Caenorhabditis elegans: one gene and its partner. The protein of the gene in region 2 purifies or fractionates together with the protein of the main gene of each other region. This does not show direct contact. Each region holds a gene or a part of one and is shown on either strand. Other genes may lie near its edges.

Region 1 (7,794 bases), on a different chromosome or scaffold from region 2:
ATCTGGATAAACTGAAATAATAATTGTTTAGGTTTTGTAAAGTTGGTCTCGACACGAATAATATTTTTTCAAACGGTGGTGGCGATGTGTTTGTACAGCAATTCATCCCCTGTTATTTTACAAATGTTATCCAGATATTCATGTGTTTTTTAGCAGCGGGAATAGGGTTGCTGTACTGATTAAAGACCTAGATTTTATTGCGCAACGTTCATTTGAAAATATTTCAAGACCGGCTACCGTATCTTTGGGAAGGAAAATTGCTATTAAGAAACCATGAGATCATGAGAATGCCTGACGTTTTGGCGCGGGAATATCTCGTAGCGAAGGCACCTAAATCTCTCTTTGCCGCTATTTTCGCGCCAGAAAGTAGGCATTCTCATGAACTGATGGTTTCGTAATATAAACTAGGTAGTGCACGATTTTGTTCAAACATGATTCTATATTTTTTTGAAGATAGGTTTTTGAAAAAACTGCAAGTTGAAAGTAAGTGTAAGTGTATTAATTAATTACATAAATTTTATAATTTTGGTAAGAAAATAAATGCACTTTAATTTTTTGAAATCATAAAACTAACCATTCATTTGCCGATTTACGGGTGTTAATGGAGATGATCCATGTCTTTGAACAACTGTATGTTGTTGCCATGGAGCACTATTTGCTTGTTGTAATTGCATATGCTGACGTGGCATTTGCATGGGGCTCTCAGGAGTTGGAGGAAGTTGGGACATGTTTTCTGTGAGTTGTTTAACAACATTCAATGATTGAGTACGTGATAAAGCTGCATGCTTGTTCTTGAACATTTCGTATTGCATCGATTTTACTGAAATTTTGAATTTAATTTAGGAATATACAAGATCAGTTTTAGGTGTGTGTTTATCAATTTAATAAGGAAAACAAGTCAATCAATTGAACAGAGACCACAACAATTTGTGGGGCGAAACTCAAGTCTGTACCTCCGAATTCAATCAAAAATTATTCAAGTTCTATTTTACGCTGAATTTGCCTAAACGACATTTTTTTAGCCACGAAAATGAGTTTTTGAGGGTTTCAACATTTGACAAGCACTTTGAGTCCCTTTTAGGAAATATAATTTTTTTTAAAGCAAACCTAAACTTTCATGAAATTTTCTGTCAAAAAATGTTTTCATATCATCAATTCAAAACGATTTTCTAGTGGTTTTTGAGCTGTTAAAGTACTCTGTTTTTGGCACAAAATGTTACAAACAGCCAAAAAGAATGGAGAAAAATTAGGGTTGAAAATTTGAAATCTGACAAATTTGAAAAACAAATTTTAAAATTTTAAAATTTTAAAATTAAAAATATAAAATTATACGGGTGGGGTTTAATTCAACCAAAACATACCTGCACCCAATGATTTTTTCTGTTGATTCTCTTTCATCAATCGCTCAGTTACACTCATATGTTGCCCATTTGCTCTTTCTGGATGATAAAATTTGCATTTATTCCCATATGTACATTTTCTTGCATATGGACACACAAGAGGATTTGATGAAACTACAGGAACTTTTGATAAGAAGCTTTCGATTCGCGGACCATGACGACCTGATGGATCATCCGGTGGCATAAATCTGAATTTACTGAGTATTAGGAAAGACGATATTTAAAAAAATTGAATTTTTTTAGAACAATCCTAGCTTCTAAAGTTTATTATTCTATAAACTAACTTAAAAAAAAAACACAAAAGTCTTGATGTTTTTTGTCTCCAAAAGTGAGAAAAAGTGCAATCAGAGCTTTGCTCTTTTGTTCACAGACTTTTCGGAAAAAAAGAGGAAAAAGTGCAGGAAAACAGGTCGAAGTGCAAATATTTGAATAGAGGAGAACGAATAGAAAACACAAGAAACACCTCAAAACAACACGGATGAACACCTCAATTAGCAGAATGTTTATTTGTTGATTTCATGATCTCGAAAATTTTTATTTATTTTTTCCGGCGAATCGGTTAGTACGATAATTAGGTAGGCATTTAAATGTGAAATAGAGTGAATGGCACTTCAAAAAAAAACCTGAAATAGTTCACACATTTAGATATTTTACAACAAAATGAAATCATGCAATTTTCGAAGCGTGATTCTCTCCTAGTTCATACTCTATGTTTGCATTCCCTCCACAATAAGAATTGCAAGACCAATCAGTGAACAGCTTATCCCCACTTCTGAACCAATTTATAAAAGTGTACGAAGTGGAACTTCACTGATTGATTCAAATGTGGATGGAGATATTTGCTGATTGGTCCTGAGACTACAGTTCTCGTTTTGGAGAAAATTCAGTTTTACTTTGGGTGATTGGGTTCAAAATTATGAATTGTTCCGCTAATTTTACAGCAAATCCCCCATTCAATCTATTCCATATCTAATACATAGTCAATTAACATAAGATTTTATGGCATTTTATTTGTCTATTAAACAATATTATCTCAAAGTAATTTAAAAAACTGACTTATCCTCAACAAAAGTGAACATAAGAAGTCTCTCCTCGACAATCTTCCTCCACGCAGGATTCTCACGTGTCAAGTCACGATATTCGTCGTTTGACACAATTACAGCGTCTTTTAGTTCAGCAGTCCTGAGAATATATCTATCGTCGTGGCAGACAACTCGACGACCGTTAACGTTTCTGAAAATTATTACATATTCTATTTAATATGGAAACTATGATACTCAATTTTTAACAAGACATTGAAAATTGCTAACGTAAAGTTCACAAATTGAGCTCAGACCAATTCTTACCGATGATATTCTCAAGTAAAACAACTAAAAATGTGACCAAAAAATTAAATTGGTGCAGAAGCTGGAAAAGCTCTGGCAAATGTGGGAGACAATTTTGAGAAGACTTGGTTTAAGCTGCAACTATTTTTGACTCGATCCAAACTTTTCCTATGTTTTTTTTAAACAAGGGTAAGTCATTGACAAGAGTTGGGATTTGGACTCAACTCGAGTTTGTCATAAACCAAGTTTTGTCCAAGTTTAACTCCAGATTTGCCAGTTTCTGGATCAAGTTTTTTTGAGTGTAAATTATACACTAAGTATTTAAATGTCGTAAGGCGCACCTAGAAGGAGTATAAATGATATGTCGTTCGATTTCCTGTAGGATATGTTGATCTGTGATAGGGCTATCCGATCGTGGTTGTTCTCTTCTGAAAACTCATATTTTCAGAATTATATTCATTTAATAATTCCGTAGCCATGGTCAAATTAACATTAAAAACCAAATGACTTACAATCACGTACCGTAAATTTTTATGGAAACTACAGTAGACTACTGTATTACAGAAATTTCAAGTGTCGTTTTCACACTTACCTGTATTGGGGAATAAATATGAGAACTTCCGGATGTCCCCGTTCCAGAAAATAATTGAGACACTCGCGGAGACCTGCACACGAGAAGACTTCTTTACGGCCGTGTCTGAAAATGATTATTTCAAATGGGTAAATAGAATAGATTAAAATAATTAGATCGACAAGTTTTGAACTGTTTTGTAAAGTTTAGTAAAGACTGTTTTAATGGTAAAAACCAACATTTTAACAACTAGATAAGATATACTTTTCAACAACAAAAAAACAGAAAAATCATGAAAAATTCTGAGAATCATGGAAAATGGTGAATAAATCATGATGATCAAGAGAGGGTGCCGTTTTCCGTTTCTCTCTGTCTCCCTCTCTCTATCCCTCTATTGACATTATGTTTCTTCCCAGGGCATCCGCTGCGGAAAGCAGTCAATCCGGAGAAAGAGAGGGCGCAAAACTTTCATATTTGCTCATAAGAAGTGAGAGAGCACATAGGATTATGAGAGACATATAGAAGCCAAAAACGATCGGAGCAAGGCAAGAAGAAAGTTGGCAAAAATAACAGACTATTTTGGCGCGGAAGCAGGAGCGGCGGCGGACACAGTGGGAGAAACGGCACAGGAACAGAGCTCATTTTTGTAGAAAAGATGAGAGAGTTTATAAAAACAAGAGAGAATGTGAGAGAAACATAGACAAATACTTCCGGTAGGCGGGTGACAAGGTCTGTGGTCACTTAGTTATGAGAAGAAGACACGTAGTCTGTCATTGTTTTATGTTAAACCAGAAACTACCGTAATCTTCTTATTTTTCTGGTAATGATTAGATTGTAATTGTCAGTTATTTTTTGGAATGTTTTAGTTCTTTTGTACTTAAAATATATCGTGAATATCTCCACTGCTTATTCAAAATCTCCGTTTCTATCTATGTATTTTTCTACCATTTGTTTTGCGTCAACTTACAACATTGCAACATTTGATCCATCAACAACCACAGCTCTCAAACTTGGATCCGGGTTGTATTTGGATGGTGTGGATGATGACGTGGCAGGTGATGACGTGGCAATTGATACTGATTGTCTAATAGGACGATGACTTGACGATGATGAGGCAGAAGAAGACGATGCAGAGGAAGTCATGATTGGTTCAGGAGAATTTCTACTTCCAGATTTTCCAGAATTTTCTGGTTTACCACCAGGAAGACCCATTTTTACAAGTTCTGAGAGCACGTCGTCCTGAAATTTTTTTAGTTTTGTTTGACAATATTCGAATCAAATTTATGAAATTTCAATTGAATACTGTTATTTTTGATTTTTGGTGAGACATTTCCAACTTTTCGCAATTTACTAGAAAATCTGAAAACTATTTTCCTTAAATTGTCGTATAGTGTTTTTAAAGTCACAAACATGTTCTAATTTAAATATTTTTCTGAAGTAATAAACACGAACCATTCTAGAATCAACACCAATTGTATTCAATACGTGACTTAGTTGCTCTGTCGAATATCCCAATTTCGTGGCGAATTCAACAACTTCCGGTGCTGGATATCTTATCATTGGCGCTGTTTGGTCATCTGAGATTTAAGAGCAAATATAATTTTGTTGAAAATATTAAATAAAAATCAGGGATCTTTGAAATTATCTAAAATAATTGTTTCCTACTAACCATCAATTTTGCTTGGATCCGATGATTCGCGACTCAGTGATGGATGGGATATATCGTCGCAAGAACTGCAAAAAAACAATGGTAAAAAATTTGAATTGAAACTTTTTTGAGATTGCTGAAATGTTTAATGTTATAAATATTTATGTGCATCCAAACTCAATCCAAACTCATAAAAAGTGACTAGAAAGCTCAAAAGTTATTTCTCTGAAAACAAATTAAACTGCAAAAAAAACCTCCAAGGATTGAAAAAAGAAGACCTACAGAAAAATGAGAACAAAATTTCCGGCTGATGGAAAAAAAGAAAAAATATGAAAAATATGCGAAAGAAATGCACGTTGTCTGTTTCCGGGATAGTTATTTTCAGTCATTTACAGAGGTTTTATCATATTTTTTCCTTATACTCTTAATTTAATTTGCCATCATTTGTACTGAAAATTATTTTTAACGGAAGTGCATGTGGGTGACGATTTACAAACAGAAATGCAAGGTTCAACTTCTCGAAGCTTTTTTGCAGGAACTCTGCGAAAAAATTTTTTACGATGGCCAAATAAATTTGTCATTGAATTTTAACATCCAAAACAAGAGCATAATTAAAAACCTTTTCAAAAACTTCGAAGGTATAAATTATTTGCAAATCAGTTGAATATTTATATGTATTTTTACTAATTTTGAATTACCATTTCTTAAAATGTAATTCCGTAGATTTGTCGAGAACAAGCCATCTCTCCCCATGATTTCAACTGAATAATTTCAGACTAAATTAATTTTTTGAAATTTTTTTCTCTCTGCACTTTATCTGAAAACATAACAAACCTGTAACAAGAGTCAAAATCATTGCATTGAACTGGAGCCAATCCTGGCGGTGGTCCAGTTGAAAGCACCTGCCCAGAACTTCCAATAATTTGAGCATTTCCTTGTTCTCCGTAGGAGCCAATTGGATTTGACATTGATTGTACCATTGGTTGATGTGGAGTTGATTGATAATATGGATTGAGACGTGTTCCAAGTCCTCTTTGGTTGCTGGTTCGACACAAAGGGGCGTGGCCACGAGCCGTTGAATCCATCTTGAAATTTTGTGGTTTGGGCGGAGGGGGAGAGAGAGAGAGAAAGAGAAATGAAAAAGTAAGTGAGAGTAAAAACAATAAGAGCAAGGAATTTGACTAGCTCGAAATACGATGGCGAAATAGATGGCTTATACTTTTTTCACTGCTCATATGAAATAGTAGGTACCTTTTGTATTGAACTTTCTCAATTGTTGTGAATTTTTTCATCAAAAAAGTGCGTGGAATTTTTTTTGGTGAACCAAACTGGCGAATTGTCCCAATTAAGTTTTTTCAGCACACCTGTTGAGAAATTCCCTAAAACTCTTCCTCAATACTCTGGAAAACATTGGAAAAATTTAGATTCTTTTAAATTGTGTCTTTTGTCCCCATCCTATCATTAGAACTTTAAAACGGAAAACCTTTTAGAAGTCAACACAAAATAAGAAGATTATAGCTTTTTCAGTTGAAAATGATGGTAGAGTTCCGTCTGAAAATGCAATCGAGAGAAAATGGAAAAGACACAAAAATGATAGAAGAAGAAGACACAGGACAAAGTTTATATTGGATAAAATTCCTCGAATTCGGACTTTGATTCGGAAAAATTGATTTCTGGATTCAAATATTTAGCTCTTATTTAAAATTTCGAGCCTAAACTAAATTTATTTTTATTGGAAATCTTGAACAAACACCAATAAATGAAAAACAAAATAGAAGGAGGAGGGATTATCAACAATCTGAAAAAGACTCAAAAAAGGGATTATCTAGAAAGAAAATAAGAAGGAGAGAAATATTAGAGATATATATTAGATATATCAGTTGAATACAAATTGTGAAAAGAGGGAATAAATCCGGGGGTGGAGAAGAGAGAAGTATTAAAGAAAAAATGAAGGAAATTGTTTGTTTTCTTATGGAAAAAAACATGAGGTTATTTCTTTGATCAGGGAAATTGTTTGTGATAATTAGATTCCGTAGATTAATTTTGTGATTTTTTTCATGAAACAGAGGAAAAGTTTAATGACTTCCATTTTTGATTTAAACAATTCGTGTTTTTTGCTCATGCCAAATTGAAAAAAATGTTTAGACATCAGGCTGAATATTTTTTTCACAAGGCATTCCAGAAAGTTCGCGGTGAACTTATTCTTAAAAAAGATCTGAAAAACCAAATGTTTAAGTCGGGTAACATTTCAGCACACACAAAACATATCAAAAATATCACTTATAATTCCAAAGCTTTTTGAACTTTTTTCCAACATTATCAGTAAAATGCGAATAAATAATATTATTTAGAATTAAAGGTCTAAAATTTTCAAAGCCAAAATGTTTCTTGAATTATCAAAAATTGAAATTTTTAATCACTTCCAACAGTTTGATAATTTATTCTGCAAATTTTTAGCATATCCAACTGACTGCTAGTGAGTTTTAAAAATGAAATAGCGGCAGTTAAAACACTCATAAGTGATAATAAAATAGGATTTTGGAAGTTGTTCAACTAAATTTTAATTTTTTAACGTGAAAGTTTTGTGCAGCTTTTCCGAATCTCAAAATTAGAGACTAAACTTTCACGTTGAAAATGAAAATAAATATATGCTTTTTTAAATCTATGTCAGACAATTTCAGATAATCTGGATCTTAAAATAAACATGATATTTGTGTTTAACGTGTTCTCATCATTCTAAATCTTACACCTTTAAAATGCATTTCCAATTAGACAATACAAACGATACGGAGTGTGCTTATAATTTCAGAAGGGATTGCCTAAACTACACTAGAAAAATGAGAAACTAGT
Region 2 (7,953 bases):
ATATTTGGAACAGCTTATTCCAACATTTATTAACATGGAAAGTTACGGATTGCCGAAGAAATTTGCTCCATAAATAAGTTGTATCCAATGTATGAATCCGAGCACGAGTTAGTCTAGAACCGGACGGCAATTGGGTTTATTGGCCGTTGTTATTATATTTCGCTTCGGAAACTTCTGGAGAAGCCTCACTGTTGTGACTTGGCCTCAGTAGAGGTCCGCCGCTCCAACTTTGCGGATTATAATTATCGGCAAGAATCGCCCACAATCCAGCGATAATCATCCGCCGGTAATTTACTCACACAATTCCGTTTGTTCGTTCTCTAATAATCATTCCACCATTTAAATTAATTAAATTAAATAATTATCATTTGAATTTGCCGCCAAGGATGCAAGCGCGCCATTGTACACATCGGAGTGTCGTAGCGCGCGCTGTTTATTCCCTTGCTCATATTAATTTCTGGCCTAAAATGTGGCCACTCTTCACTTCACTCTTCGTGCCCCTTCGTCACTGGCTGCGCGTCGCCGTTCTTCTCCCAAATATTCACTAAATATTCTCTACGTTTTTGCCTTGTTTATCCCAGCATAATGCTGCCCTGCTCAATAAACTTGGATTTTCGTCAAACTGTGTACTGTTATTAGCACCGCTCATCAATTCTCCCGTTCTGTCCGTCGTCTTCTTGTCACTCCGAGGCTCTGGCTGCCATCTCGGACCGGAGTGTCAACACTCACCGTGCGAAAAATGACAAAAAAACACAATTGCCGCGTAGCTCCACAGGCTCGCCACAGAAACAAATTTGACAAAAGAGCAACAAAGCGATGCCGCCTTCACAGGCAGATATCACATCACTACCCCCTCCCACTCTCTTCACAGAAATAAATTGGAATGAACCTCACAAAACGTCCTAAAGGTTGGAGATTAAATTGTAGACATACCAACTATACTGCTAAATTAGAATACTTGGTACATCGTTAATGCTACTTATGTACATCCATTTCTCTGTCAGTACGGAGATGATATCTGCAATCTGGCTTGCACAAAACAAATTGGACAAAAGAGAGATGTCAACAAAGCGACGCCGACTCCATAAAAATCACAGATAAAATACTGCAACTCCGTCCACTGAATTATGTTTTTGTGAATTATGCTTTGATGGGGCCTCTCTCTTTTCATATGTTTTTGTGTAACGTGTCATTTTTATGTGATAAATTTTTTATTTTTGAAAAATTCCTATTCAGTTCTTGTTGTATTATGAAAACAGATAATACAAAATGAATGTCAGAAAATCCAGAATAACATGTTTTTATTGGATACCTCCTTTGTCAGTGTTCCATATAAAAAGAGCCCTGTAAGAATGGAATAGTCACAATTCAGTCAACATGAATTTCATCGTCTACCTTCTTGTCCTTGTCGCCTTTGCTGCAAACTTCGGATTCTGTCAATGACGTCCATTTCCTGCTCCAGCTCCTGTAAGTTTTCAAAGAAATATTATATTCGAGAAACTGATCATATTTCGTATAACACTGAAAACTTCAAGAAAATTCAGAAATTCTTATTTTCCAGAGAGTGTGAAGAAGCAAGCACAATATGCATTCAATGATGGGATTGAAACTTCGTTCAACAGTGCCCAATGAAGCGAGTCTAACGATCCTTCTAAGGATTAATTCGGCCATGTTTGTTTGAGAATAAATATATTGAACATTGGGAATCTTTTTTTTTTAGTTCAATCAATTGATCTTTTGTGGAATTTTGTTAGCAATAGTGTGATTCAGTTAAAAAATATTCGTTTAGTTGAAATTAAACTGCAGACTTCACATCAAAAAATGTTTTTTTTTGTGTACACTTGATTTATTGCAATCAAAGACTGAGTCCCATTTTGTTATCAGAGGAAATTCCATGTATTTAACGGAAAGAGTGATAAGGAAAATTCACTCACAAAAACTCACTCGTCGGAAAATATTCATACTACTACAAGCATACACATTTCGAAAAATGAATGATTTGTGTAAAAAACTGTCCCATTTATTTTCAAAGCCGAAAAACAAAACGTGAGTTTTAAATTGACCGGAAAATTGAGAGTTCAGTTTTGTTAGATTTTTTAAATATATGTTTTTGGTATTTATTAAGTTGTCAAGTATTAAGTACTATTGAGCATTAGATTAAAGTTACTGTTAGTTGGATTTTACCTGAAAAATTATTTTACAAAACCTCAAATTTTCGGAAAAAAGTCCGAAATTTTCGGAAATTTGGCAGTGTGTCAAAATTTTAATTTTGATTTTTAAATCATTCTCAGTGATATCACAGAGAAAAAAAACAAATGCATTCATTGAAAAAAAAACCATTGATTTTGGCTAATTTTTCAAGCTCTTTTTTCTCGGAACGACTCTTTTTCAAAGTTCCAGCGCAAATTTTTTATAGCTATGGAAAAATAGTTTTTAACGTATCAAAACGTTTTTTTTCATAGTAAAAAAATGAAATTGACAAAACAAAAATGAAATTTTCAATAATTGTATTTTACATATTAAAACTTTGTGCTGTAAATTGAAATTAAAGTGTGGCACAAAAAAATGGGCTTAGTTTCAAGTGGGTTTTTTTCCAGTGGGGGATGTGAACTTTAATTTGATTTTTTTTAAACCTCAGATCATCTAAAATCTTGACCTCCACATTGAATTCCTTTCAAAACTCCAGTAGAATTGGAATCCGAATCATCGTTTCAAATACCGTCCGATTGACCATCTACACCCGAAAAAGCCCTCCCAGGATAACAATTAACTTTCAAGGCATTACCGCCTCCATGAAATATGTAAATGCGATTCTAGCAATCGAAATTCCAATTTCTTATATATCTATCCAGTTTGTTAACAGAGAGTGTTGGAAGTCACTAAATCCCGAAGTAGTGTCTCATGTCGGGATGCTACTATTAGAGGAAATGGCCAAAATGCTGAAATCAAGCAATGTGAAGCTAAAAAAGTTTTCTGTACGTCTTTTCGAGACGCCATCAGACCCTATCGAGAAAATTCTATCAGATTTGGATGTGAAAGTTTTGGTATTGAAGACAGACTGGGATGAAGATGATGAAGATAAGAAGCCTATTCAAAAAGTCGAATCGGATAACTGGAAAAAGGTCAGAGCGCTGTACATCAACTCGTTCTATTTGGCGGGTCCTGTTCAACAAATCTCACATTTGTCGACTGCCTCATGCTTTTTCAATTCGATCAATTTCGACGATTTGGTCTTCTTGAAAAATGTTAGTTTTAAATCAATCTGGTTTCCTCATTTAATACAAAATTACAGCATTTCCTCGATGCACCACATGCACGTGAATACGTCATTCACTATCGAGAATTCGATGGGCATCCTATGATGGTACTTCCTCAAAAAATGGGATTAATTACAATCGTGGGAGATCCAATCGATGTAGATCATTGTGAAACTGGAGAAGACATCTACAAATTTCACGTGATGGACGAGAATCACGATATTTCAATTAATTTGTGTATGAGGGAATACGCAAATTTGCATTCGATTACTTTTACACGGGAGCCGCCTTTGGTGAAGCAGTTTTCGGAGTGAGGTTTTGAATAATCGCCTTTGGGTTTTGAAAAGAATGTATATGAACGCCTGCCGCCCACGCCTCGCGCCTCGAGCCGCGCCTTTTGTATAGTGCGACGCGAAACCCAAAACGTGTCGGCCGCGGCAAGAGAACCATCTTTCGCACTATTTGATGTGAACACCAAACCTGTGCCTTTTTTCCATATGCAGAAATGAGGCAAGAGGCCGGCGTGAGGCCGGCAAGTTGGAGGCAGGTGTCAGGTCCTGAAACCGCGCCTGCCTCTTATGGAAGCCTTCGTGTCTGGTTACCAAAAAAATATGCGTAGTAGGGCTTCACATAGACGTCTGCAGGAATTTTAAAAAGAATATGCGTTTTTTTCTGGAAACAGTCTGAGCAGGCTTGTGTAATTTGTGTAGTTGGTGTAGACAGTTACTTGTTTGATTTCTGGAAACAGTCTGTTAGGGCAGTGCAAAACTTTGCGGTTTCTTTGCCTCTTAATCATTATCATTTCAGCCCAATCGTGACAAACTACCACTCGTCGACTGTCGAGTTACTCGAAAACAGCCAGAACATTAGTGTCTTTCTAGTGATACTGAGAGACTCCATTATGTTTCAACTCACTTATCAACCGAAAACTAGCTTGGAAAAACAAAATGCCATCTTCGATTATAAAAAGCAGATGTCTGGATGCTCTGTGAATTCTGAGAATAGAACTGAATTGGGTGTGAATCTAGATTATCGTACTCTTTTTTGCACCCACTTGAAGTACTTATTAGACAGAATTGGATATTGTACATTTGCAGCATTTTCCTTTGTGTTCTACGGAAAATTAATGAGTGAATATGTTGTAGGAGATGAAAGTGATATGTTACACATGGAGTTTTTCAATGTATTCGATAAATTTGTTCAACCAAATTCCATAAAAGCATTGGTATTTAGTGTCAATTTCAAATTTCATCCTCTCGCTATCAATTACATCACCTCGGTACTCTCATTCTTCCAACCCGGCCCGCTTCAATCTATCATGCTTGACATGGATAAAAGGACAACCGCTATGAACTTGGAAAGTATTGTGCGCCTGGAACAATGGGAACAAGCTGCTATGATTTTGATGTCGGATATTACTGTGAAATTCGCAAGGAGGGATTTTGGGCATTTGGGCATTGCAAAAATCATAGCCCACCCGATTTCTTTCGAAGATCTAACGTTTCTAAAAGAGGTTACTCACTGGGAGGTTTTTTATTGTTGGAAAATGTAAGCTTTTCAGCATTTTATCACTTCTGACATCCCTCAGATGTTTGAGATTAAGTATCTCCGTTCCTCTGAGATCAATGTCAATGTTGCTCAGAAACTTCTAGAGACATTTGGACCACCAGCTCACGAAGAGTATGCAAGTGCAGAGCAATGTGATCGAATTTGGTGCCTTCCGATTTCAAATTCCGAGAATTGTGTTCTCGTCAAACACATATTCTGTCGTCGGCGAGAGTACGGCTCATTCAACTTCAGTCGACGCTTGGCATCTGAGTTGGAGTTGATGAGGTGAGTTGTGGCACTTTCAATACATAGTACTGCAAAATAGTTTTTTTCAGCACCACATCTCCCAACCGATCTCAAATACTCTCTGCACTCGTCAAGAAAATAGAAGCGTTGAAAAACTGGTCTCTCAAAGTTAGAATAGATGAGGGCCAGGTTCAGATCAACTTCACTCACTCACCCTGGCCGACCAAAAGCATCTGCTATAAAAATCACAGAGAAGGATGTCTGTTGGAGTATGAATTTCACAAAGTAGTGTTTGATGAGAACTTTGCCGTTGCATCCTGTGATGATCTGAACTTCGTAATGAATAGTGTGCAAGAGTTTGACAAGTTTGAAATTGAATCTGGCGAGATCTCAGCGCCAAATCGAGACGATGATCCAAATAACTCTAATGAAACAATTTTACCATATTGGTTGACTAATCTGAAAACACATTTGAAGCAAAGATCACAGATGCTTACTGTCGGAACTTTTAAGCTGAACTTGAAAAATCACGCTCCAAACAATCGGTTCTTTTCAATCCTGTCACTGATTGCCTCGGAAACTATCGAGTTGAAGACTACTGTCCAGGAAGCAAAGTTAAAGTTGAAAGAAATTAATGTAACAAATGCCAAGGAGTTTAAAGCAGAATCGTTTCAATTATCCGTTCCTATCAAATTGTTGCTTCATTTTTCAAATGTGTCTGCGACGTTACAGACAGTTTCAATTCAAGATCTCAATATATTGAAAGAGGTGAGGGAAACTTTTTTCTATCACAGGTAAAGGTTCGGTCTGTCAAGAAATCATAAACACGTGCACGCCCATTTCTTGGCTGTTCATTCTGCAACCAAAACATTCCAATTTTCAGCACTTCCTGAATTCTCCAATCAAGCTCAAGTTTATCATCAACGACACTCTTTCAAAAAATGAAGATGTGAATGTTACAAACCTACTGGAAATGTTTGGAGCACCCGACCGTATTGAAGATGTCCTCATGGAATGGCGTATTCGGACTCTTAGCACAAAATTCGAGCTAGTCATAGAATACCGCCCATGTGTTCCCATGGGTCAATCATTCACTTTTGAAAGTTTTGCGATTGCTGACACCGTATTTGAAAAGGTTACTGTTTGAACTCCAGTATGGTCGGGGTACTGTAGTACTGACACCTCACAAACTCCTGAATTCACTAGAACTAGGTTTGCTGGGAAAGAATTTTTTGCTATTCTGTTGCATCTATGGTAATTTTTTTAGTTATATTTTTTAGCAAAACTGCTATCCTGGTATTAGCGAGGTTCCAGCAAGCGCGCTCCAATAATTATAAGAGGCCGTGCATTTTGTTATTTCAAAATTCCCGTGCGGTGTCGGTCGCTGAAACTTTCTCATGGTCGATTTTGTGAAAATGATTATTTTTTAAAAGTGTAAAATTTTGTGAGTGCTTGATAGTTAAAAAGCGCCACGAAGCCAAAAGCATGGTGTGTTTTCACCACATAGTGCGAAAGGTGGTTCTTTCGCCGCAGCCGGCACTGTACAGGAGACGCGGCTCTCGGCGTGAAACATGCGGAGGTCACCTACAAGACAGGCGTTTCGGCGCCTGCATGGGTGCCCTACACTTGACTGTAAAATTTGCATTTCCGAAAAAAATCTTACTTAAATCGATAATTTTTAATTTTCAGGAACATCAAACACTCGGTCCAATCAATAACCTAGCCATGTTGCCACTGTAAGCCCTAAGTTTTGTAAACCCCCGCCAACTTTTGCCTTTCTTCCAGCTCCTTCACTACTCGATCCGTAATTCTCCCCTCCACATTGAATTCCATGAAAGGCGCACAACTCACTGAGATTTACATGTCAGTTGAACGTATCCGAATTACAATATTCTTCCGTTATTTTCTCCATAATCATGAAAATTGTCGAACCCACGAGTATGAACGTTATCAGAAAGGGTGCCGGGTTAAATGTGATCTTCAAGAAGAGGTAGCTCGACACCAAGACTTTATCTCGTTGGCGATTTCCCATTTGTCAGTGATTCTGAAGAGTCACGATAACATGGTTCGATTCAAAATTTATCTACGCGATGATTCTGAAGAGGACGACGTTGATAAAAAGGTTCTTCAAGCCCTTGTTGAAGCGCTTAAAGAACGACAGAACAAGCTGAGAATTAAATATTTAGAGGTATATTTCTGGAAGCGACCGCTCATCGAACTCGCCGCCTCGCTATTGTCATGGTGCGACCCCATAGATCTTATAAGAATTGTTTTGGAAGCACCATTTTTCAAAGGCATAGTCATCGAACCGGAAGCTTGTGAACTACTTGTCAACCTAGAACAGTGGAAAAGTGTGAGACAGATGATGTGTCCGTCGCTCGTGTTTCCAACTGCACTGTCAAGTTTTGAGCATTTTTCTGCCGCTAACTTCACTGTTCCAACAATCAGTTTGGAGCAGTTGAATTCATTGAAAAAGGTAGGCTTCCAATTTTGTTTGAGCACCTTTCTAACTAAAGTTAAACTTCAGCACTTTATGAATTTCACCACTGAATTCATATTTGCCATTCACTTTCTCGCTTACAAAGATCAAGACATCAATAATATGGGAGAAAGAGGACCGAAACCCCAAGACGTTTTTTGTACACCTTCTCAGGCTGAATACGGAAATGAAGAATTAGGAAATAAACGGTGGTATTTGCCAATGGAAAATACGGAGTATCAACTCGATATAATTTATCTACGTTGTGGAAGGCAAGGGGTTCCAGTGTATATTTTCAAGCGGGTTAGTTTTTTTCTCAATTTTTCTGAAGGTCTTCTACACCTCCAGGTTAACGATAATATAAAAAAATATGTGATTTTTATAGGAACCTCTCATAAAACTGCACCCACTAAGAAAAGCAGA

The links.
Region 1: the proteins of C01B9.1 (region 2) and rege-1 fractionate together in Caenorhabditis elegans (co-fractionation; one large-scale study listed by BioGRID). This does not show direct contact.

The regions. Positions count from the first base shown.
Region 1 is NC_003279.8:6,955,111-6,962,904, forward strand, and holds the start of rege-1 (Endoribonuclease rege-1), read right to left. Parts: upstream 6,030-7,794; coding exon 5,779-6,029; intron 5,031-5,778; coding exon 4,966-5,030; intron 4,874-4,965; coding exon 4,749-4,873; intron 4,536-4,748; coding exon 4,264-4,535; intron 3,423-4,263; coding exon 3,318-3,422; intron 3,154-3,317; coding exon 3,067-3,153; intron 2,634-3,066; coding exon 2,457-2,633; intron 1,589-2,456; coding exon 1,362-1,588; intron 821-1,361; coding exon 575-820; intron 12-574; coding exon 1-11. UniProt on the Caenorhabditis elegans protein: Endonuclease which binds to the 3'UTR of target mRNAs and induces degradation of the transcript.
Region 2 is NC_003280.10:13,769,645-13,777,597, forward strand, and holds the start of C01B9.1 (DUF38 domain-containing protein), read left to right. Parts: upstream 1-1,930; 5' UTR 1,931-1,990; coding exon 1,991-2,046; intron 2,047-2,638; coding exon 2,639-3,245; intron 3,246-3,292; coding exon 3,293-3,567; intron 3,568-4,064; coding exon 4,065-4,770; intron 4,771-4,818; coding exon 4,819-5,090; intron 5,091-5,140; coding exon 5,141-5,819; intron 5,820-5,934; coding exon 5,935-6,186; intron 6,187-6,740; coding exon 6,741-6,787; intron 6,788-6,836; coding exon 6,837-7,527; intron 7,528-7,578; coding exon 7,579-7,833; intron 7,834-7,915; coding exon 7,916-7,953. Other genes in the region: C01B9.4 (Transcriptional regulator), read right to left, coding at 1,277-1,344, 1,396-1,465.